Linked DNA regions of Arabidopsis thaliana. The protein of the gene in region 1 interacts with the protein of each later gene in a pairwise test. Each region holds a gene or a part of one and is shown in the gene's direction. Other genes may lie near its edges. The genes, in order: AT1G05640, AT1G07860, AT4G38690 and AT4G30500.

Region 1 (6,867 bases):
TATATGGGAAATTGATAATGTGCAAAAATGTCATCGTTCATACAACGACCGTTGCTCCTAAAAGTACGATATCAACCATGTGTGCACCTAATGATTGGAAATGTAAACTCTTTTATCAATCATAAAATATTCACAACCTCTTATCATATAGATATCACATGTACTTAATTGTACCATAGACTCCAATAACGAACCAAAATAATTATGCTCTCTCTCCCTATATATACCCATGCATCAAATCAAATCAATTCAAACACAAACACAAACACAAACACAAACATAAACTCAAACTCACATATAAAAAATGACAAAATCAGCTATAACATTTCCACTTATCTTCACACTTCTCACCTTCATCGATGTCTCGAGCAGCGCCTCCATTGTTTTCAACGTCGTGAGCTTCGGGGCCAAACCAGACGGAGTCACCGATTCCACAGCAGCATTCCTAAAGGCATGGCAAGGGGCTTGTGGCTCGGCAGCATCAGCCACGGTGGTGGTCCCCACGGGGACATTTTTGTTGAAGGTAATAACGTTTGGAGGGCCATGCAAGAGCAAAATCACATTTCAAGTGACCGGAACCGTCGTTGCTCCGGAAGATTATAGGACCTTTGGCAATTCCGGTTCCTGGATTCTCTTCAACAAGGTTAACAGATTCTCACTGGTCGGTGGGACTTTTGACGCTCGAGGTAGTGGGTTCTGGTCTTGCCGGAAATCTGGCCAGAATTGTCCTCCCGGTGTTAGGGTACATATGCTTCTCCTCTATCTATAGTTATTGTAAATAAAAACAACAATCTGACATTCATACATAAGCGCCACCAGAATGCAAAAGAGCAACAAATAGCTTTAATCATTATTGATTAGTAATAACTAAATAAGTCAATATATTTTTTTTAATAGTCAAATAACATATCTTTATTCCAATCATTTACTTACGATTAAAAAAAAAAAGGAATTAGTTGATAGTTTTCAACTATATTAATTCAGGCACATTTAATTTTCAATATGATCTATCCATGCCATTTTTAGGAATTTATTTTATAAGCATATAATAACTATTATGATAATGATTTTTGGACAAGGAAATGGATTCTTTGGTCAAAATAAAATGAAATATTTATAATCTTATTATTAATCTATGGCGTTTATATATTAATTACTGTAGTCAATATCGTTCAACTCCGCAAAAGACGTGATCATAAGTGGAGTGAAATCGATGAACAGCCAGGTTAGCCATATGACCCTCAACGGTTGCACCAATGTGGCCGTCCGTAACATTAGGCTGGTGGCTCCCGGAGACAGCCCAAACACTGACGGCTTCACCGTTCAGTTCTCCACTGGAGTCACATTAACCGGAAGCACCGTTCAGACCGGAGACGATTGTGTTGCTATCGGTCAGGGGACCCGCAACTTCCTAATTTCCAAGCTTGCTTGTGGCCCAGGTCACGGGGTTAGGTATACACCACCGTCTAATTCCTTAGAGTAAATTATGTAAATATATCATTAATTGTTAGGAATCATGAATTTCCAACAAAAAAAAAACTAGCAATATTGCCTTCACTCACTCTGGTCACAACTCATATGATGATGTGATGACTGGCAGCATCGGGAGTTTGGCAAAGCAGTTAAACGAAGACGGAGTAGAGAACGTGACAGTATCGAGTTCGGTATTCACCGGATCACAAAACGGCGTGAGGATAAAGTCATGGGCGAGGCCGAGTACCGGATTCGTTAGAAACGTCTTCTTTCAAAATCTAATCATGAGGAACGTCCAAAACCCTATCATAATCGACCAAAACTATTGTCCGTCCAACCAAGGTTGCCCTACTGAGGTATATCCATATCATATTTTTGATCAATTTCAGACTAATCAAATATGCTATATCAAATTATCAACTTAGTCAAATAACTAAAGATTTATTATGTTTATGGTATGTATTAGCATTCGGGGGTGAAGATAACCCAAGTGACGTACAAGAACATACAAGGAACTTCGGCGACGCAGGAAGCAATGAAGCTGGTGTGTAGCAAGAGCAATCCATGCACGGGAATCACATTACAAGACATAAAGCTTACTTACAACAAAGGAACTCCTGCTACTTCCTTGTGCTTCAATGCTGTTGGGAAAAATCTTGGTGTTATTCAACCTACTAGTTGTCTAAATCGATGAATTTATTTGGGGTTAAGATGATATCACTGTGAAATGTTATTAGGAAACTGATTTTTCAAATAGTTTTCTGTAACAAGGTATATGATCACCAATTTCTGTAACATACAATTTTTTTTTTTTTATTAATAAAATATTATTTTCAGTAACCAACAAAGTGGAAGACTTTGACTTGTTGTCACCATCACATTGTGCTTTTGCTTTTTGGTCTTTGATTTGGACAACAAAAATATAAAGAAATTAGAGAAAAGAAGCTTTAACTGGATATAAAGTTTTAAACTGGAGATAATTGACATAGTAATTAAGAATTTGTTGCTTCAAAACTCAAAAGAAAAAGTAATCACTAATATTACTAAAGATTTTGGAAGTTTAGCGAAATTAATAAAGAAAACAGCTGAAGATGCAGTCACTCATCACAGTCTCTCTCTCTATCTCTATATCCTGAGAATCTTACATGATTTGCCCACAAAAAGCATTGAGATTTACAAATCAATCTATTGGGTTTCAGCTACACTCTACTGAAATCAGCTGCAACCTTTTTTTTTTTTCTCTCTCTTCTTTCATCACATCGGTTTGAATCTTTACAAGAAATCTGGAAATCACAGGGAAGTCAGGGTTTTCCATTTTCAAGCTGGTTCTGTTATTACGAAACACGGGTTGCTGGAAAAGAGCTCACGGATTCTTCAAACAAAGTTGGCATCTTTCAGATTTGGGAGAAAAAGTTGTTATTCAAGATCTTTGTGTAATCTAAGGGAGAAGCATACCATGAGTTCTCTGGTTCCTGTTATGGAGAAGCAAGAGAGCGTTCGAGGTAACTCTGTGGAGGAACAGCAGAGTCTCAGATGCGTTGGTGCAGAGAATCAGGTGAGAAAGGGAAGAGCTTTGGACAAGCAAGTTAGTTTCCTAGCTGTGAATGTTGTTGAGAAACATGGAATCAAAGGAAGAGCAATGGAGAAACAGGAGAGGGCAATGGAGAGGCAGAGAAGCTTTCGTGGGTTTGTTGAGAAGCAGAAAAGCTTTAGGGTAGTAATGGAGAGACAGTTAAGTTTCATGAATGTTGGTGGTGAGAGGAAGAAGAAGACTGACTCACCTGGTAAAAGAGGAGATTCTCCTCTTCATCTCGCAGCTCGAACGGGGAATTTGGGAAAGGTTATGGAATTGATTCGAGCTTGTAACGGCATTGAAGAGTTGAAGGAGTTGTCATCAAAGCAGAATCTAGAAGGAGAGACCCCTCTTTATAGTGCAGCAGAAAATGGGCATTCATTAGTTGTTGAAGAGATGTTGAAACATATGGATCTTGATACTGCATCAGTTAAAGCTCGCAACGGTTTTGATCCTTTCCATGTCGCTGCAAAACAAGGCCATATTGGTAAATGAAACTTTAGAGAATCTGATAATAACTTGAAGACCTTGTTATTGTTGTACACCTTCTTGACATATATCTTTGAATGTGTGCTGTCTTTTGCAGAGGCATTGAAGAAATTGTTGGAGACATTTCCGAATCTGGCTATGACGGTGGATCTATCGTGTACAACTGCATTGCACACGGCTGCTTCACAAGGACACACTGATGTGGTGAATCTTCTTTTAAAGACGGATTCTCATTTAGCTAAGATAGCTAAGAACAATGGTAAAACCGCACTTCATTCTGCAGCGCGAATGGGGCACAGAGAAGTGGTTAAGTCTTTGATAGGTAATGATGCAAGCATCGGGTTTAGAACTGATAAGAAGGGACAAACAGCGCTTCACATGGCTGTCAAAGGTCAGAACGAAGGGATTGTTCTTGAGTTGGTGAAACCTGATCCTGCGATTTTGAGTGTTGAGGATAGTAAAGGGAATACGCCGTTGCACACTGCCACAAACAAAGGCCGTATTAAGGTATCATCATCGCTAATTCCCCCTCCCCTCAGTTTCTCAATCTACAAGAATTCTGATGAACTGCATTTTGCCTTTGCTTGCAGATAGTGAGATGTTTGGTATCATTTGATGGAATTAACCTTAATGCTATGAATAAGGCTGGAGATACTGCACTTGATATAGCCGAAAAGATTGGAAATCCAGAGCTTGTGTCGGTTCTGAAGGAAGCAGGAGCTGCAACAGCTAAAGATCTTGGGAAGCCTCGAAACCCGGCTAAGCAACTTAACCAAACGGTCAGTGACATTAAACACGAGGTACAGTCTCAGCTCCAACAGTCTCGCCAAACGGGTGTTAGGGTGCGGAGAATCGCAAAGAGACTGAAGAAGCTTCACATCAATGGTTTAAACAACGCTATAAACTCTGCAACCGTTGTGGCTGTCCTAATTGCAACAGTTGCATTTGCAGCAATCTTCACCATTCCTGGGCAATATGAAGAAGACAGAACAAAGGGACTGTTGTTATTAGGAGAAGCCCGCATAGCCGGCAAAGCCCCGTTTTTAGTCTTCTTCATATTTGACAGCTTGGCGCTGTTCATATCTTTGGCTGTTGTTGTGGTGCAGACTTCAGTTGTGGTGATTGAGCAGAAGGCAAAGAAGAATCTTGTGTTTGTGATCAACAAGCTCATGTGGTTGGCTTGTTTGTTCATATCCGTAGCCTTTGTTTCTCTTTCGTTTATCGTTGTGGGTAAGGAGGACATTTGGCTGGCGATTTGTGCAACGATTATTGGCGGGACGATTATGCTAACCACGATAGGTGCAATGTGTTACTGTGTGGTCATGCATAGGATCGAGGAATCTAAACTGAAAAGCTTAAGGAAAGAGAGAAGCAAATCGAAATCTTTCTCACTATCTCATATGCCTTCAGAGTCAGAGATTCTCAACGGCGAATTCAACAAGAGAATGTATGCACTCTGAGACTAAAATCTCCAGAACAGGCAATTTAGTGTAAGAGTAACAAATGTATACATGGGTCACGTACCTGTAGTTTAGATTCAAGTGAGGAGATACAAAAGTTGAATACATGCTACCTGAGGAACAGTCTCAAAGCAAATCTACAATTTCTGACACAAAATGAATTTTCTAAAGAATCAACGAATGAATAAAAGCGATTCTTCACCTGATGCATTTGTCTTGTGATGACTTTGTTGTTCTTCTGCTCTAAGATCTAGTTAAAACTGTCAAAGTCACAAGAGCTCATCACCGGCTTTTACCTCGTCTAACCGAGTCTTCAGTTCTTGGTCTAGTGCTTCCATTACGGGTAATATCTGTTGGGTAACGACGTGAACCACCTAAGTTCTTTGTTAGGTTCGTGGGTCTGTTCTCAAGGAGACATACTCTGGCTGAGAAGCAGTGACGGACTTTGACAGAGTGGCTTCTCAATGTTGTTGAGCAGCTTCCTCGAATGTTCACCATCAGGATTGCTTCTTTATCTCGAGTGTCTTCGCACCACCAATTCTGTGGGATGCCATCAACATATTCCTCCATTGAGTAAAAATCTTCGTGATGAACTTTAACGTCTACGGATCCTTCTGGATTTATTATCCCTGCTGCGGGAGAAACCTAAAAGAAAAAAATTCTTGTATATCACTAAATCTTGAATACTACAAGAATCTTCATTTGGCGTCAAAAGAGAATTTAATACCTCGAGCCAGCGTGGTAGACCAAAGGAGCCTCGTGGATTGTAGTCAGCATCTTCTCCGTCATCCTTAACTACAGCCTGGCCACCGCACAGAATGTTAAATATGGCTTGGCTCGTGGGTGAATTGTTTGTGATTGTTAGGATGACTGTGTCCTGACTCTGAAGAACAATGTTGTTGGTGCTCACAGAAGTTTCTGGAACAAATCTTAAATCTTCGAATATGGATAAAATCTTCTCATTAGACCTTATTATTTTCCCCAGTTCCTGTCTCCGCACAGATTTATCAACATGAGCTATTGTCGCATGAAATTTGCAGCGCACGGGTTTGTGATCGCTCTCAGTAACATCCATGCAAGCTTCATACCTGTTGAAACACGCAGGTGGGAAGTTAGAATGGAGAAAACACATTGAAGAGACCGGAAAAAGCGAGAAACATCAGAAAGGTCGTCATGAAACCATACATTATGACTGATGAAACTACAGGGCATTGCAAATTGCTCTCAGAGAATGGGCTAGATTGAGTGTCTCTATATATAACTCGGTCACACCACGCAGGAATTCGCTTTTTCTCCCCTGAATCATATCCTGGAGAGTACACAGCACAGAAAGATTCAGTTTTTTTGGAGCCACCATCTCTTACAAAACAGAGGAAAAAATGCAGAGAACAGAGCAGAGCAAAACTGCTTCAATTTTTTCAAATTCATATCTTATGTATCAAATCCACTTTTACCTCCAAGGCCTGAGCGATTCCTTTCAAATTTGTAAGTGGGAGGGAAAGTGATTAATGCCTCGCGCATTCCTTGGAAGACTTTTCCAACCTTCATCTCTGCTCTAAGTTGGTCTCTTTCTCTGAGCCAATCGAAGGATCGCTGTGAAATGAAGTCCCTTGCTTCATCATAGGTTATACCAAACAGTCTATAGTTGAAATCGCCAAAAAATGCGACCATGTCTGCTGCTGCAAGATCAGACTTGATTTCTTCAGCGCCGGTGCTTGGAATCTGGAAAACAGAGAAACATGTTAAATACAAATTTAAGGAGCAAACAACATAAACTCAGGAGTAAAGGTGATATGATAAGAACATACAGTGTTACTCTTTGTTGTATAAGCTGAAGTTGAGACACCAGCTGCAAGAGAGAGGGCCCATGGC
Region 2 (4,841 bases), 740 kb from region 1:
AATTGACAAACTAGAAAGATGTTTGGCAGTATGAAAATAATTTTATCAAGAAGTGACATAATCTTTAATCACTCAAATCCATTGCTCCATTAACGCCACGTCAGATCGACGGTGCTTGTTTCCGAACCAACGGACGGTAGATGACAAATTAAAAAGTTGACCATGCTCAAGTGTTTCGTGCCATTACGTGGCGTCTTCTGATACGTTTGTCTTCAACACTAGCCGTACGTTTCTGTTCTCCTCAGGAAGAAACATTTGTCTAGACGTGGCTGGTTTTAATTAGACGCGCTATATGTAATGTACCGTGAACCTTGTCGTAGACGATAACTATACGTTTCTCTCTGAAACAAAGAAAATTAAACAACTTTTTTTGATTACGCGATATAAAAAAAGGCGAAGAAATTAAGCTTTCTCTGTTTGTCACTAAGCTCTCTCTCTCTCCTTCTTCTTCGACTTTTTTTTTTCTTCCTCTCTTCTCTTTGGTTTTTTGGTGTTGGGTTTTATCTGGGTTCCTGATTTCTTCAACGAGGAAGGAAGGAAGAAGAAGAGAAAAGGGACAAGCGAGAATTACTCTTTTCTCCTTCAATTTCCGATGGGTTGTTTCGGATGCAGTAAGAAATCGAGCAAACGATCCGAGACTAACAAAGATACTGTCATAAATAGAAAAATTGTCGGTGGTACTACGAGCGTTGCTAAGAGTGATAAGCGAGACGATCAGACTCAGCCCAGTTCAGGTATCGAGTGATTTTGACTAATTTCGTTATTCTCTCTTCTCCACAAGCTCTCTTTTGGATTTGTTGATTTTTTTTTATCGGATACTTATGTTTAGGTTTTTCTGTATCTGTTACATTTGGGAGAGACATTTAATGGAGATTTTTTGTGATTTTTCCCCGGAGAATTTTGATGCATGTGTACTATTCACCATATAAACGATGTTGGGTTTTTGAAATCGAGCTAGTTTTTTTTGGTTTTGTCTCCTCCATGAGGGGACAAAGTGTCAAAATTGAGCCTTTGGTATCTTGCCGTGTCTGTTTTTGGTTAAGTCACATGATAACTGGTAATCGATTTTGTTACTCGTTCCATGTGTTGTAGATTCAACAAAAGTCAGTCCATATAGAGATGTAAACAATGAAGGAGGAGTTGGTAAGGAAGATCAGTTATCTTTGGATGTGAAGGGTTTGAATCTAAATGACCAAGTCACAGGGAAGAAAGCACAGACTTTTACTTTTCAAGAACTTGCAGAAGCTACGGGAAACTTTAGATCGGATTGTTTTCTTGGTGAAGGAGGTTTCGGAAAAGTTTTCAAGGGAACTATAGAGAAATTGGATCAGGTACTTGTGACAAAGAAAAATCCTATCTGTTTTTATCAATTGGCTGTGAGATTTGTCATAGTTTTGAACGGTTGGTGAAACTTGGTTCTGCTGCTAGGTTGTTGCAATCAAGCAACTTGATCGTAATGGGGTTCAAGGAATCAGGGAATTTGTGGTTGAGGTATTGACTCTAAGTCTTGCTGACCATCCGAATCTTGTGAAGCTTATTGGGTTTTGTGCTGAGGGTGATCAGAGACTACTGGTGTACGAGTATATGCCGCAAGGATCCCTTGAAGATCATCTACATGGTATGTTGTAAGATCAAATTCCTATCCTTTGCCTCTGTATTGTTTGTCTCGCAGCTACCCCCTTTTCTCATCTAACTTTTACATTGTTGTTTTGACTGTTTCAAGTTCTCCCTTCTGGTAAAAAGCCTCTTGACTGGAACACCCGGATGAAAATAGCAGCTGGTGCAGCAAGAGGTTTAGAGTATCTGCATGACAGAATGACGCCCCCTGTGATTTACCGAGATCTTAAATGTTCGAATATTTTGCTTGGTGAAGACTATCAACCGAAACTATCTGACTTTGGGTTGGCTAAAGTAGGACCAAGCGGGGATAAAACCCATGTCTCGACAAGGGTTATGGGAACGTACGGATACTGTGCTCCTGACTACGCTATGACGGGTCAGCTCACATTTAAATCCGATATATACAGTTTTGGAGTAGTCCTTCTCGAGCTTATCACCGGAAGGAAAGCGATTGACAATACAAAAACGCGTAAAGATCAGAATTTGGTTGGATGGGTATGTTTTGTCTCTTGGCTGTGACTCATAATAATCTTTACTGAAACAAGACTCATATTTTCACGGTGCTTTTTAACAGGCACGACCATTGTTCAAAGACAGGAGGAACTTCCCAAAAATGGTTGATCCATTGCTTCAGGGACAATACCCAGTTAGAGGACTGTACCAAGCACTAGCAATATCAGCAATGTGCGTTCAAGAGCAGCCTACCATGAGACCAGTGGTATCTGATGTAGTATTGGCTCTCAACTTCTTAGCCTCTTCTAAATATGATCCGAATAGCCCTAGCAGCAGCAGCGGGAAGAACCCTTCTTTTCACAGAGACAGAGATGATGAAGAGAAAAGACCACACCTCGTCAAGGAAACTGAATGTGAAGGGTCCTCATAGGATATCCAATAAGAGAGTGGTAAAAAATCAAATCTAATTTTGGCTTCACCAAGAAATTGGGGAAAAATATAAAACCAACTCAGGTACATTTTTAACATCTATTGTGGATGTAAATCTTGACTCGGCTTCTTTGTATGTAGAATGTTTCTGTTCTGTAGAAAAGGAAAAAAAAAAAAAACCATTTTGTTTTGGGACATATATACATATATTGAACAAAAACAAATATCGTTGGTCATATATATATTTTCCCGATCAAAAAGTCTGGTAAATTAGGATTAAGTAATGTCTAAAAATTCATAATGATGAATGGCAAAAGTCGTAAATATGTAATAGAAATAGGACTATGATCACGTGATGCAACTTATCCCGCGTGAACCCGTTAAGATTTTTGCCGTTAAATAACCAAAACCTAATCCAAGAAGGCTTCACAAATCTCTTCTCTCTTATCTCTCTCTACTGGTTTTGTGATTCTTGGAAGAGAAGCTACAAGATAAGACAACAATGGCGGAAAGATCATTCTCTCAGCTCCCGATCTCTTCTTCTCACATTGGCAGAAGGACAGGAAACACCCGGAGAGGGATATTTCCGGTATCGGAGTATTGGATCCATGCAATTCCGGTGATCGTTTTTCTCTGTTTCTTCACCCTCTGGATTTTCTCCCACTCAGGTTCCTTATTTCTCCGATTCTTTAATCTAAGAAAAGATTTTCCCGAGAAAATGAGTCTTTCTGATTTTGGTTTTGGTTACAGTGAGCGTCATGAACGATGGAGAGATAATGTCGATACATCGTCTTGAGAAATCCATGGCCGTGAGAAACGAGTCTCATGTCAGTTTAGCGATTCTTGCTTCCTCTGCTGTTTCACCAGCCTCCTCAGCTCTCGTCGCCGTCGTCTCTACCAATCAGAATCTCACAACTTTTCACAACGCAACTCAATCGCAGCAAAATGCAACCCAGTCGGTGAACAAAGCAAAACAGCCACACGCAGTCTAATCTCTGAACGGAGAAAAGTTTCTTTCAGTTTCTTACTGATTTCTTTCATGAACAGATAACTTTCAGGGATTGAATTTTTCTTTTCTTTGTATTTGCTTCAGTTGAAACAATAGTTTTTGATTTAGGATTGAGAATTGTTTGTGAACGACGATACACAGAATGTTTTCAACAAATTGCATAGTCATTTGAAGAAATCTTTAGTGAGTATATATCTGAATCTTGTTAATGCTGCTGAGGATGTTCAAGCTCACTGATCTCTCCATCTGCGCAATTTCCGACCCAAATATACATCGTTTGGTTTCTCCTACTCGGCAATACTCTGCAACAATCCCTCCTCGGTGACTGCACCAAACACACAATTTTAACATCATGTTATTTCAACACCGGTTTATTATATGATCTCAGCCGGTTATCTCTGTCAATTCACTAGCCAAAACCAAACCGGTATGACTATATTTGATGCAAGTTGTTAATAATGAAGCAAAGAGAAGATGTGGACCAACCTTGTGCCATCGGAGGGGATCAGGTCGCTTGAGAACGACGACTGAATCGATCTTTCCAGGCGAATCGAGCCTCCATCGGCACCCGGGAATCCGCCTTGTCTTGTCCAAGTTGTAGTATCCAATCACTTGGCGACGTCCTTCATCATACTTAGCCGAGTTTAAGTAAAACACAAATGGTCTTTGGCACGGATGCCTCGACACTGGTCTCGTGTTAAACGCGTAACCAATGTAGTCGGCTTTGCGGAACCAGTTGAGGAATGTTCTTGAAGGCATCTCAAGTTCGCGAGGGGATATGATGCCTCGGATTATCTGGACTACGAAACCCCATGAGACCGAGATGGACCAGAACCGGTTCTGGTCGTAGCAGATGGACTGCTGGAATATGCTGGCTGGGTCAAGAACTGCTGAAGACATCAAGTGTCGTAGTGCACGTGACCGCTTCATCTTTGGGAATATCGGCTGCACCACATCGATGTGGTGCAGCGACACCAAGGGAGCCACTGGGTGTGCACCTAATAACCCCAATAAGTCCCCATAAACATCGTACTGCATACATAGAAACATTAAAATTAGACGTATTCAATCCAGATAAACCGTTCTAATCCGAACCGAAACCAAACCGAAGTAATTAAACATCGAGGAAACGTAGAAAATGACACCTGGTGAAAGCCAGGTTCTTTGGTGAGGGGTACACCAAGTTCAGTCATACAAGCTTGGATGCGATCATCACTGCCGTAGAGACCAGGATACCGTTGGATGCAACGGTCCTGCATCCGCAAGAGCTCGAGGGCTAGAGCATAGCTGATGGCGAACCCACCGCCTCCAAATGCCATTGAATATGAGA
Region 3 (5,870 bases), on another chromosome or scaffold:
AGTCGGGCAAAGTATTGATCTCTTACTGTCTGTGGAAATTATTGACATGGGTCTAAGAAATTGTGTATATTGTGGGAGATAGGGATTCATATATATGCTATAAACAGTGAGATTTTGGATGATCATTCATGTGTTATGGATCACTGCATTAGTATAGTAGTTAATATGTTAAATTTGGTGTTATTAGTTTTTCTCTACATTCATACATGGAAGTTGATGTCTTGAAGTGAAGCTGAAAGATTGGATCTCTCTTTCTGTTTTGTTTTTTTGATCTGGCATCCCATGTTTAGAGAGCTCTGTTTTTCTCTTTCTGCGTGATGGTAATGGGTTTTTTAGTTAGTGTTGTTGAGTATTGTGGGAAGTTGTAAATTTTGTAAGCATGTTTCTTACTCTTAAATTATTTTGTCTTTGAACATTGAAGCACGGAGCATTCTGAGGAGGATGCTCAAGAGGAGGAACCAGCTGTAGAAGGGGCAAAGAAGGAAGAGACTGAGGACAAACCGGCTGTAGAAGAGGCTAAGAAGGAAGAAACTGAGGGTGAACAGGCTGTAGAAGAGGCTAAGAAGGAAGAGACTGGTGGCGAACCGGCTGTAGAAGAGGCAAAGAAGGAAGAGACGGAGGACAAAATCTAAAGAGTCAAAAGGCATTTTTGTGGATTGTGATAGTTTGGGTTCTTGAAGTTTAGCTTCTGAGAATTTGTGTTGTTTAATTTGGATAAGTTAAGTTGTGTGGGGGAACTCTAGAGAAAATTTTGGTAGGGTCTTTTTTTTTATAATATCTCTCTGTCTCTTTTTTTTACCACATACTCTGTTGCAATTTTTAGGGTTTTGGGGTGTCTTTTATTTTTTACGAGTTGTACAATTTCATTATTGGTTTAAATCTGTCTTTGAATTTGGGAGCGTTTAGTTGATCAGTGATCAATGGTGCGTAGAGAGAGTGATGTTTGTTATTAAGAGCCCAATTGGCCCAACTTAACCCGACCCAGTATCAGATCTGGCCCGTATTCTATAATCTTCTTGATCGGTGCAGTCCACTTAAGATATATGTGGTGAGGAATAAATCCAACCTGTACAAACACACAGAATGTAGTGGGACGGGGAATATGATAATACCACGCGCTTTAGAGCTGGGAATATATTAAAATTGATCAAAAATAGGCATTTTGGCTGGACTATATAGCTTACCCATTTTGATAACACGCGCTCAACGCTCCTAAGGTGCGCGTGGTACATATCCTTACCTCGAATAAAGTTTATGCTAGTTATTTGGCAGAATCTCAAAGCTTTTTAGAATCATAATTTTCTAAAATAATTAAATCTCTTTACATGTTTTCAAAGTTGTCAAACACTATTACAATTTTGAACATATCATCAATATCAGACAGAAAATTTTCAAAGTTAATACCTGGATCATATGCATTTACTATTTTCTTTTTGTTATATAGAAAAATATCAAATAGATTTTCTAAATAATGACATATACCCTCTTTTTATAGGAGAAAATCTTTTTCCTGTAAACATTCCTAAAATTACAAGTGATCAAACTATATATATATATATATGTTCTAGATTCATTTGGATAGTAAACTTTCATATCAATTCCTTAAGTTTATAAATTATGAAGAGCACATTAATAATATTTTTCACACTCTGTTTGAGCATGGCCGTTATGGCGCGTCACGAATCCTACTATGGCAACACCAAACCGGCTAAACTGAATGAGGAGAAAGTGACACGTGTCAGATTTTATCTCCATGATACTCTCAGTGGCCAAAATCCTACCGCCGTTAGAATCGCACATGCAAATCTAACCGGTGGCTCAGCTTCGCCGGTAGGTTTTGGAAGCCTGTTTGTGATAGACGATCCGCTCACCGTCGGGCCGGAGAAACACTCGAAAGAGATCGGGAATGGTCAAGGGATGTATGTCTCCGGGTGCAAAGACTTGAGCAAATTCACGATCGTCATGTACGCTGATTTGGCTTTCACGGCAGGGAAGTTTAATGGAAGCTCGATCAGTATCTTCTCGAGGAATCCGGTGGCGGAAGAGGTCGGAGAGCGAGAAATCGCGATTGTTGGTGGCCGTGGGAAATTCAGAATGGCGAGAGGTTTTGTCAAAGTAAAAACAAATAAGATTGACATGAAGACTGGTGATGCTGTTCTCCGATATGATGCTACTGTTTATCATTATTAACCGATTCATATGTTCCGATTAAAACAATAAAAAGGCCAACTAAATCAATTATTCAGATCAAAACTGAATTTTGCATGATCAAGAGATCAAAATTGATTAATTATGTTGCAATCTTTCTTCTCAATTCCCAAAATCTATACTAGTAATCTCTTTTACATATCTTAGTTGTGTGGATCGTGATATTTGAGATAGTCTTACAAAAGACATGATAGGGCCTGTGAGTGTATATGATTGGTTTTCCATCGGATCCTATCCGAATTTTATCCAAAATATTAATTATCGATGCCTTGTTTAAATTTTAGGAACGACTTTTATTTCATAGAAAATTTGAATATGTGTCTTCCAAGAAATAAAAATCACGTTGTATTGATATCTTTCACGTCGGAAAATAGCCAGGCATTAGAAATTGACAAATAACAAACAGTGAAGACAGCTATACAACAAAAATGGACCTACCATACATTGTAAACCCACTCTCCCATCAATTACAACTCAACCACTCTTTCAATATATCTCAACTAATCAATCAGTTCACATTTATAACACTAAAATGTTCCCACAATAAAAATTGTAACAGTTAATCTTACATATTAAACGCTACTACTTTTTTTCTATGGTTTTTGTTAAGTTAAAAGTTGAAAGTTACTTCTAATTTGCGAATATGTCAACGGTGTTTTGAGAAAGTAGCGTAATTATTAAAAGATTAACGTATAATTCGTAACTTCTTCAAACCAATAATAAGTAAATAAAAAACAATCATAACGACTTATGAGTAAAGGTTTATTGATAAAGAAGGCATGGAACATTTTATAAACAAGAGAGAACAGAATTCAATATAGTGATCAGAGAAGAGAGAGCAAAGGGAAAGGGTTAATCCTCAGCAATGGGCTCTCACCTTTCCAAACAACTCGAGCGGCGAAAAGCCATCTCCACGGAGAAGAAAGCCCTCACCGATCTCGAGAAATCGTGCGGCTGCGAGTTTCCGGGGTGTGATTACATGCCTTCCGATCGTAAAAACTGGATGGCCGGCGTTGGACCTGAAAAGCTTCACATCAACAAGATCGTCTGGCCTGGGACGCACGACTCTGCCACCAACAAAATCGGTATCCGATTCGTGTCTCGTCCCTTTGCTAAGTGCCAATCTCTCTCCATCTATAACCAGCTCGTGGCGGGTACTCGAGTCCTTGACATTCGTGTCCAAGAAGATCGCCGTGTATGCCACGGTATCCTCAAGACTTATAGTGTCGACGTTGTCTTGGCCGATCTCAAACGGTTTCTATCCGAAACAGAGTCGGAGATTGTCATTCTTGAGATCAGAACAGAGTTTGGACACGAAGACCCACCGGAGTTTGATAAGTATCTTGTGGAACAGCTTGGAGAGCATCTGATTCACCAGGACGATCACGTGTTCTCCAAGACAGTCGCTGAGCTGCTTCCCAAGAGAGTGATCTGCGTTTGGAAACCGAGGAAATCGCCTCAGCCTAAGCATGGTGATCCTCTTTGGAGCGCTGGTTACCTTAAAGACAATTGGATCGATACAGATCTTCCATCGACCAAATTCGAGAGCAACATCAAGCATTTGAGCCAGCAGCAACCAGCTACTTCAAGGAAATTCTTTTACCGGGTGGAGAACACAGTGACGCCGCAGCCCGATAACCCAATAATGTGTGTAAAACCGGTGACTAAGAGGATACATTGCTACGCCAAGGTATTCATCATAGAGTGTGTAAAAAGAGGATGTGCTGATAAACTGCAGATATTCTCAACTGATTTCATAGATAATGAATTTGTTGATGCTTGCGTTGGGCTCACCTTTGCGAGAGCTGAAGGTAAGGCCTGAGGAATGAGCGTGTGGAGACAGACTTTGTGTATCTATTTTGAAGGAAAAGAATCAGAACATGGTTGATGTGTTTTAGGGTTGCTTGTGTATAAGAGAACATGTGAGTGTGTATTTGTATGTGTGTGTGATTTACGAGTGTATATTCCAATTCATTACAACTTATTTGAATCCTGATACAATTGCGAGATATCCAAACTCTTCATTACTATTAATTTCTGATACTTTTGCAGATGTTGTAGTTGATAGACAGGCAAAACAGAAGGAAGAAGTATACAGTTGATGGTAAAATCTAGTTTTAACAAGTGAAAGAGAGCTGCTAACCTGAGAGATGACTATATTTCTGCAGCAATGCCCCTTTTTATTACACACTACTGTGATCTTCAAGAACAAAAAGATAATAGAATCAGTTATGCTAGAATTCATATCAGTAGCTAATGACACAATGCATCTCTATAATTTCATTATTTGATTATATCTATAAACTGAGATGATGGAAACATGGTGCAAAATCCTAATAATTTGAGATTAGATTTCTTCTCAAGACTTGAAACACAAAAGAAGAAGAAGAAGAGCATTTGATCCACAAGAGTGATTGAGCCGAGCCAAATTATTCTCCCTGCTGAGATCGGCAGCGAGACCACTCTTCTAGACTCTAGACATGGGATGCAGAGAAACCAACTTTTTTTATTTAAACGGCTGCGTTTTAAGTCATGTTCTCAAATGATACCAGTTTTTTTTTTTTTTTTTTTTTTGCTAAGCACAAGTTTGATTTGTTGTTTGGCACTTTACGATAACATCATTTTACTCCTATACTTTCTCACGGTAAGTGATTAAGATAAAAACATGCACATTTTTCGAATTATAAGCTAAATTTAAAGGGATCTATTTTCTATCTCTCAATAATTTTTAAATTTTACTCATTTTCTATTTCTCTTATAAATTAATTACTTGGTAATTTAGTTTTGTAATCGATACTCAAAAATCGATATCCAACAAAGGACAATCTCTTTGCGGTCAATAGTCTTCTCAAATTACTTCATACAATTATCATACTGTTTGGTAAAATTTGTGAATCTGCCTCATAAAATGTACGTGGAAAGTGGAACAACAGTTAATGCTTATTTTGACCACAAGATTGAGAAAATTTTGAAAAGAGTATATTGACCAGTTGCTGACGTTGCATGTCATTCTTTAATGTTGTTGTTGACTGCAACAAAAAATAAAATACAACATACAAAGTAAAAAAATAAAAATAAATTAATTGATCTTTGTTTCTCTATTCCCCAGAGAGCTAGCTTTTCAGATCTAAAATCAGAATCTGACGGCTGATATCCCTCGTGAAAAACACCCCAACCGTCCAGATGCAACTGCTTGCTGGGCCAATGATCCATTCTCTTTCCCGAAATGGATTAATCAATTTAAGCCTTATCACATGCTGGCCCATTTTCTAACTCCTCTTTTCTTTTTTAACTTACTTTTCTTTCTTTTAATATTTTAGTTGCAGATTCATTTTCGAAATCAACGAAATTTATGTTTTTTTAATTTTCTGGGTATCTTAATCGCGAGATTTTTTATTTTAATATCACGCTCGAATATACAATTCGGAATGTGCAGATGTTTTTTTTGAAGGCAATTTAGAAAAATAGACAAAAATCGAACAAACATATATAGAAATAGAGATCTAAATAAAAACATTTATTTTATTTCCTCTTGGAAACAAGGAAAAAATGAATTGGGGTGGGTGACGTGGCAGTCATACCCTTGCCACACCCTTCCTATACGCATATAAACAGCAGCTGCGAGGAGAGAGAGATTTCAGAGTATTTTCTAGGGTTTCGTT
Region 4 (6,063 bases), on another chromosome or scaffold:
ATCTTGATGATGTTCTTGGACCCATCGATTTCGCCTCTGAGATTGTTATAATCTTTTCCAAAAGTTCTTGAGGATTTGCTTCAGCTGTACACAACAACCTCGCTCTGTTCTCATACATTACCTGCAATTCTTAAACCATCATTATCAGATTTTGATGAAATGGTTTGGTAGTGCCATCTTATAAGAACAAAACAAGAACCAGGAATTGCATACATCGACTAGCGTGACGAATCTATATGCAGCAGTACGGTTATGAAGCCCAAACACTGGAATTTCGTCCAAGGCAAGAGTATGAAACTTCTCTGCAACATCAAGAAGAAGAAGAAGCACTGTTTAGAGACAAGATTTGCAGATGAGAGAGAGACAAAGTAAAGTATCTTACTGAACAAACCGAAGTAATCCGCAGCTCCAAGAGGTCGGTCACATAGCTCTTCAAAAGGAAAGTATGCACATCCATTGGCACCTAATGGAATCTGTTCATGAAGCAGCATTTGGTCTGATGAAGAACTTATATACAGACAACACAAGTGTTGTTGGAGTTACACAGAGATTGGTATAATAAACTGTACCTGTAATTTTCTTCCCATCACCACTTCTACTACCTGTGGACGGGCAACAACATTGTCTCCAATCAATTGTCGGAACTTCTGTTTCAAAAGGGTCGAAAGATCTTTACCAATGAAGTAGAATCCTTGCTCAGCCTGCAAAAATGAAGAAGTGTCCCAGTTATTGAACTCAGCTCTACCTTGAAGCCAGTCTAGGGAGTTTTTAATGGGATTAAGAGCAATACCGAAGTTAGTTTCCGGTAATCAACCGCTGAACCGATCTCATGAACCACACTTCGTTCCTGCGAAAATGGAAATCTTGATGCAGTCTTTGAATTAAAAAGGTACTGAAAGTGGACTAATGATAGTAGATTAGACTACCTTCAATGAAGAAATGAAAGGTAGGAACAGATCTCTTTGGAGTCCTCCTTCATAGAGTTTATCAGGATTCCGATTCGATGTAGCAACAAGAATCTATATTTTATATAGCAAGCATGGACAAAAGTCAGTTTTAAGATGATTGTAGCAGCATAATGTAAGTAAAGATGACACTTACAACACCATTGCTAAACAGATGTCCAAAGAGTCGGTTTAGTATTAGAGCATCTGCAACATCAGTTACCTATAATAACAGAAACAGTAGCCGAAAAAATCAAGATGTGTTGATCCAAAGATGATCACTTTCAAGAAAATAAATATATGAAATAGTGTACATACCATGAACTCATCTAGACATAGTAAGATTGCATCATGAGCTATCTCTTGGGCAACAACTTCAAGTGGATCTGATAAACCCTTGTGCTTCTGCAAACATTATGAACCGAAATCAAACAACGTATCTCAAAAGGCTAAAGCTTTTCCTACTAAAATCAATAGAGAAACAATGGAAACTCAATTATCCATACTTGCAAGCGGCTATGAACACTCAACATGAAATCATGGAAATGTATCCTCTGCTTCTTCCAAGTACAAGGCCTAATGAAACAAGAGAATTGTCATGAAACCGCAATGCTCGAAAAAAAAGGATAAGAATTTGATCATACAAACTTACAGTTGATCAAAGAATAAGTCCATCAACATGGTTTTTCCTGTACCTACACCTCCATAAAGGTATAATCCTTTGACGGGTGAGTAAGAAGTCTGTGGCATGAGCCGAGACCAAAACCAACGACTTCTGTATTACACAAAAACACAGTTGTGTGAGACTCAAGTTCTCAATCCTAAACAGAGAAGGAAAGGTGTCAAGGCTAAGAGAACAGAACAATCACCTTGAGGATTTATCAGAAGTATTATACCGATCTAAACGACATGTATCTACTGAATCCACAAGCTCATCATATAGTCTCTGAAGCTCTCTCAATGCACTAATCTACAACATTTCAAACACAACCTTAAGCCGCAAGTAACACGAATCACATTTAATCTTATAGCTCAAAAGCTTCAATGAAGTAAAAAAGAGTGGCTATTATTTTTATCATACTTGGCAGATATCACCAGTCATGAGTTCACCATTACTGATTCTTCTCTCATACTCAACAAGAGGACCTGTTCTATTCACATCTGTCATCATTCAACAAATATCAGCAAACCAATAAACACGAACTCTGAGATTGATAGAATTTCTTTGCAAAGAGAAACAAAACCTGAGACGGTGACCCTAGTAGTAGCAGGATCAGCTGCTTCTACTGCTTCTGCTGATAAGCCTCTAAAGATACTTGACCTTGAATACAAACTTGAATTATCAGTGTTTGTATTCAGCAGAGCTTGATTTTGATTGACACCGATCAAAAGTTTGCGGCTTTTGGAGTAGAAAGTTGAAGAATAACGTTCTTGATTGTTCCTTAGAGCCCATCTAATTCTACTGAGAGATGATAACCTAATGATTGGTCTCATCTACGATCAATGCAAATTCAATTCAGCAGCTGAAACTTTGAGATACGGAAACAGAGCAAGAACAATAACCCAAGAAGAAAAACAGAATCTTTGTATGAGAGAAATCGGATCCGGATAAGAATTAGAGCACAAGAGGAAAAAGTGAATGAGAATATTGAAAAGTTAAGTTTGATGTTTATATGTAATGACGATGATAAATCTGGATAAGAGAGATAGAGAGAGACCCAAGAATAAACGGAGATGTAGTCAAATAAGGAAGATAGAGAAGAAGATCTTTAACTGTTAAACTCTTAAAACAGAGAGATAGAGGCGTGATTAATGAGTTATTTATCAACTAAGACACGTTTTTTATTTTTTTATTTTTATATACTTTCAATTTTTTAACCAAAATTGATTGTGTTGTACTTCTAATTACATTTGTTAATGTTGATTGCATAGTTGTTTTCCAGGTCATTAGAGGATTGTATTTGTCCCTTATTTAAGAGAGTTGACTATTTTTATTCCTATGAAAAAAGTAATTTCTTGATATATCTTTACCCTAATGATGTCTACAAGTCAAATTACAAATTTTATAAACAATTTTTAACATTTGTAATTATAGTATAGAATATTGGAAACGGAAGCTTCTCGATGTTGCGTTTGCGTACAGGATACTGGTGGACCTAGCGAATGTGTCCCATACATAGGCTAAGCATATTCCAAGTGGGAGAGAGATACGTGAATCAGACATGGTCCTTAAAGATGATCCAACGGTCTATAATTTTTCTAGTTTTGTTCTCAATGGGTAAGTTGAACAATGGACCTTAATGATGACATGTTGCATTGCGTATGATTCCACGTGTCCACGTCATTTCTTACACTGCAAACATGTCTTTTTCTGACCAACCCCTAACGCTACTTTTCTTTGATACATCTTTGTTTTTGCTATAATGGTGCTTGTTGACAAAATAATACTATGTTGAATTGACCTAAAACCATACTCAGATTGGGATATCCGAGAACCATTGTGTAAGACGTGATGTTTGATCCAAATATGGGCTACACTCAAATATTGGATATAGGCCCACAAGATATGATATCTTCATTTTTTTTTGTCTATAGAACAACATAAAACAGGGAAAAAAATTTACACTACTTTTGTTCTTGTTCCGTTATAAATATCGTTTTACCGATTGATCATAGAAATGGTATACTTTTTAGTTTTTGGAACAGCGGTAAAAGGTTTTATGTTGATGTCTTCTCCGAGCGCCGGTGATTTTCACACAGACCTTGTTATTGGAAAACTGAAATAATGCAGTTTTCTGTTGATAGGCCTTAAGATGTCAGATTTTATGGGCCTTTTAGGTTGTTCTGGCCCATTTAGATAGAACTGTTTCAGTTTTCCAACAACAACTGATAAGGATAGACGAAAGCCCAAATTAAGAATCTTTGTCCTAAACCCAAGGAAAAGCGTAATTACGACACGCAGCCAAACAAAACATTTCCTGCGTGAAAAAAGTATTTGAGAAAAGAGGACGACAAAAAGGTACAGGTGTCAATATATAATTGGATTAAACAAGCTTAGACACCTAAAAGTTTTCTCTCACACCATTTGTGAAGATCCAAAGCAAAAGAAGAATTACAGAAACTGAAAAAACTATCTTCCTCGTCTCTTTGATCATTCTCTTTTAACTCATGGCGAATCAAGGAGCAAAGAAGAGGAAAGATGAGAACGCTCGACACATGGCTAAGCTCCGTCTCATTATGATCCTTTGCAACGTAACTTCCTCGTTCCTCATTTCTTAAATTCTCAATACATTAATCCGTTGAGCTTAGATTTGTTTAGATACGTTACTTGTATCAATATGGAACTAAAAATCCGTTGAATTTGATCTTTAGGTCTCGAAAGTTTCAATGTTTAGCTGATTTTGTTTCGATGAATTCGAGGATTGATGTTTTTGGCAATATGTGTTTGCAGATTTTGTATGTCCTAGTGAGGGTTATAATTTCGCATTCAAGTCATACCTGGAAAAATTGGATTGGTCTTGTGTTAACATCGTTAGGTTACGGGATTCCATATAAGCTTCTTCATCAAATGGCAAAGCCTAGTGTTAGTGATGCTGGTGAACTTCTTGATGGTGGATTTGACATGAGCACTCCTGGAATGTGTGGGTACGTTCGGAAAGATTTGTCTTTTAAATTGATCAACTAGAAAGTGCCTGCTTTTGTCTCAAGTGTTTCTGTATAGTTGGATTCTGTTTCCATAACCAAAAGCAATAGTAGGAGGACTGTTTCATTATCAGTTGTTTGAAATGAGTGATGTTTTACTAGTTGTGGCTTTCTCCGAGTTTTATCGTTTATCAGTTGCTACATAATCGTCATCTTTATGGTGGATTGGATTTATGGTAGATTCTATAGTATAAGCCTGATGCTCTATTCTTCCTTGCAGATATTTGCATGATGTACTCTACATCACCTGCTTTGTGCAGGTCGGATCTATCATCTCTGGAAAGTTTTGGTACGCGTATTTAGTGGTATGATACCCATCTCAATTTTCTTTATTGCCATATTTTAAGGCAAACAACAGATTTGCTCTGTAGGAATGATGCAACCATTTACTTTTGCTTGTTTTTATTTTAGATCCCTGCATTTGGAGCATACAAAGCTTCTGGTCTTATTAAGGGACTATTGTCACATGGTTCAGAGGTAATCACTTTGTCTTGAATACTCTCAAAGTGCTTTGAACAAGGGGGAAATAAAACATGATCATTTAAAATGGACTGTGTTTTGTCTATATGACTGAACTTAGGGAGGTGTTGAGGATGAGAAGACTCGCAAAAAGAGGGAGAAGATGGAGAGAAAAGCTTCTAGAGGACAAGTCGTTAAGACAAGATCTCGATGAATGTCTTAAACATTCATCTTTAGCAAACACAATTAGCAAATCTTTCTTCAAACATACAAAATGCAAATCAATGGGTAAATACTCTTGACTTTGTAATGTACCTGTCTTTACACTATTTTGACTTAATGGATGTGTTAAGATGAAGTAGACTAATAGTCTTGAGTAGGATACAGTGAATTCTCATAAGATAAAAGACTTTTGCTCTTTGGATTATGATGATGTTATGACTTGTGAGCCATTAGACCGACAAATGATCCTGACTTGAAAATTCTGATTCATAGCTAAAGAGCCTTGACTGTAACTATGGAGTAAGTGGGATATGATGGAAAGAGTTGGGAAACCATTTTGTATTTCATTTCTTCAACACAAATCAAGATTAAGATACAGTAATAGCACGGAAGAGCTAATTATATTTGCGAATAACCAAAGAACATGAGACTATAAACATATTCTTAATGAACCCAAGGTACAAAAATTGTTACATACAAAAAAGTTGCCCAGTACTTTCATATATTTGATATTTGGTTGTATACATCACCCGGTGGTTATGGAGAAGAGATTGAATTCACGTTCCAGTGTCCATAGAGACTCATTCTTGTTATTGATACTTAGCGTATACTCCTGGAAATATCCGTTATAAGTGATCACCGATACCGTTGCTCTGAAAAGAACGTGAAAGGTAAAAGATTATCAAAACTTGTCATGTAACCATGGTTTCAAAATGAAGATATCCTAAAATCTTAC

What was found.
Region 2: the proteins of AT1G05640 (region 1) and AT1G07860 interact in a protein complementation assay, tested with the Arabidopsis thaliana proteins (one large-scale study listed by BioGRID).
Region 3: the proteins of AT1G05640 (region 1) and AT4G38690 interact in a protein complementation assay, tested with the Arabidopsis thaliana proteins (one large-scale study listed by BioGRID).
Region 4: the proteins of AT1G05640 (region 1) and AT4G30500 interact in a protein complementation assay, tested with the Arabidopsis thaliana proteins (one large-scale study listed by BioGRID).

The regions. Positions count from the first base shown.
Region 1 is NC_003070.9:1,685,564-1,692,430, reverse strand, and holds AT1G05640 (Ankyrin repeat family protein), read left to right. Parts: upstream 1-2,475; 5' UTR 2,476-2,929; coding exon 2,930-3,533; intron 3,534-3,632; coding exon 3,633-4,042; intron 4,043-4,125; coding exon 4,126-4,995; downstream 4,996-6,867. Other genes in the region: AT1G05650 (Pectin lyase-like superfamily protein), read left to right, coding at 305-742, 1,163-1,452, 1,601-1,829, 1,940-2,167; 5PTASE13 (Endonuclease/exonuclease/phosphatase family protein), read right to left, coding at 5,278-5,640, 5,723-6,083, 6,181-6,304, 6,450-6,717, 6,804-6,867.
Region 2 is NC_003070.9:2,427,595-2,432,435, reverse strand, and holds AT1G07860 (Serine/Threonine-kinase RLCKVII protein), read left to right. Parts: upstream 1-3,004; coding exon 3,005-3,170; intron 3,171-3,210; exon of another isoform or gene 3,211-3,252; coding exon 3,253-3,494; 3' UTR 3,495-3,525; downstream 3,526-4,841. Other genes in the region: AT1G07870 (Protein kinase superfamily protein), read left to right, coding at 593-734, 1,093-1,331, 1,429-1,618, 1,724-2,115, 2,195-2,493, 3,058-3,170, 3,253-3,494; AT1G07850 (transferring glycosyl group transferase (DUF604)), read right to left, coding at 3,717-3,836, 3,998-4,543, 4,657-4,841.
Region 3 is NC_003075.7:18,072,903-18,078,772, reverse strand, and holds AT4G38690 (PLC-like phosphodiesterases superfamily protein), read left to right. Parts: upstream 1-2,815; 5' UTR 2,816-3,073; coding exon 3,074-4,030; 3' UTR 4,031-4,453; downstream 4,454-5,870. Other genes in the region: AT4G38710 (glycine-rich protein), read left to right, coding at 188-226, 422-632; AT4G38700 (Disease resistance-responsive (dirigent-like protein) family protein), read left to right, coding at 1,618-2,190.
Region 4 is NC_003075.7:14,899,446-14,905,508, forward strand, and holds AT4G30500 (transmembrane protein (DUF788)), read left to right. Parts: upstream 1-3,905; 5' UTR 3,906-4,112; coding exon 4,113-4,196; intron 4,197-4,395; coding exon 4,396-4,589; intron 4,590-4,866; coding exon 4,867-4,951; intron 4,952-5,057; coding exon 5,058-5,123; intron 5,124-5,226; coding exon 5,227-5,319; 3' UTR 5,320-5,563; downstream 5,564-6,063. Other genes in the region: AT4G30490 (AFG1-like ATPase family protein), read right to left, coding at 1-121, 214-302, 383-473, 570-701, 791-847, 927-1,019, 1,102-1,167, 1,263-1,349 and 5 more; ATG18B (autophagy 18 B-like protein), read right to left, coding at 5,854-5,980.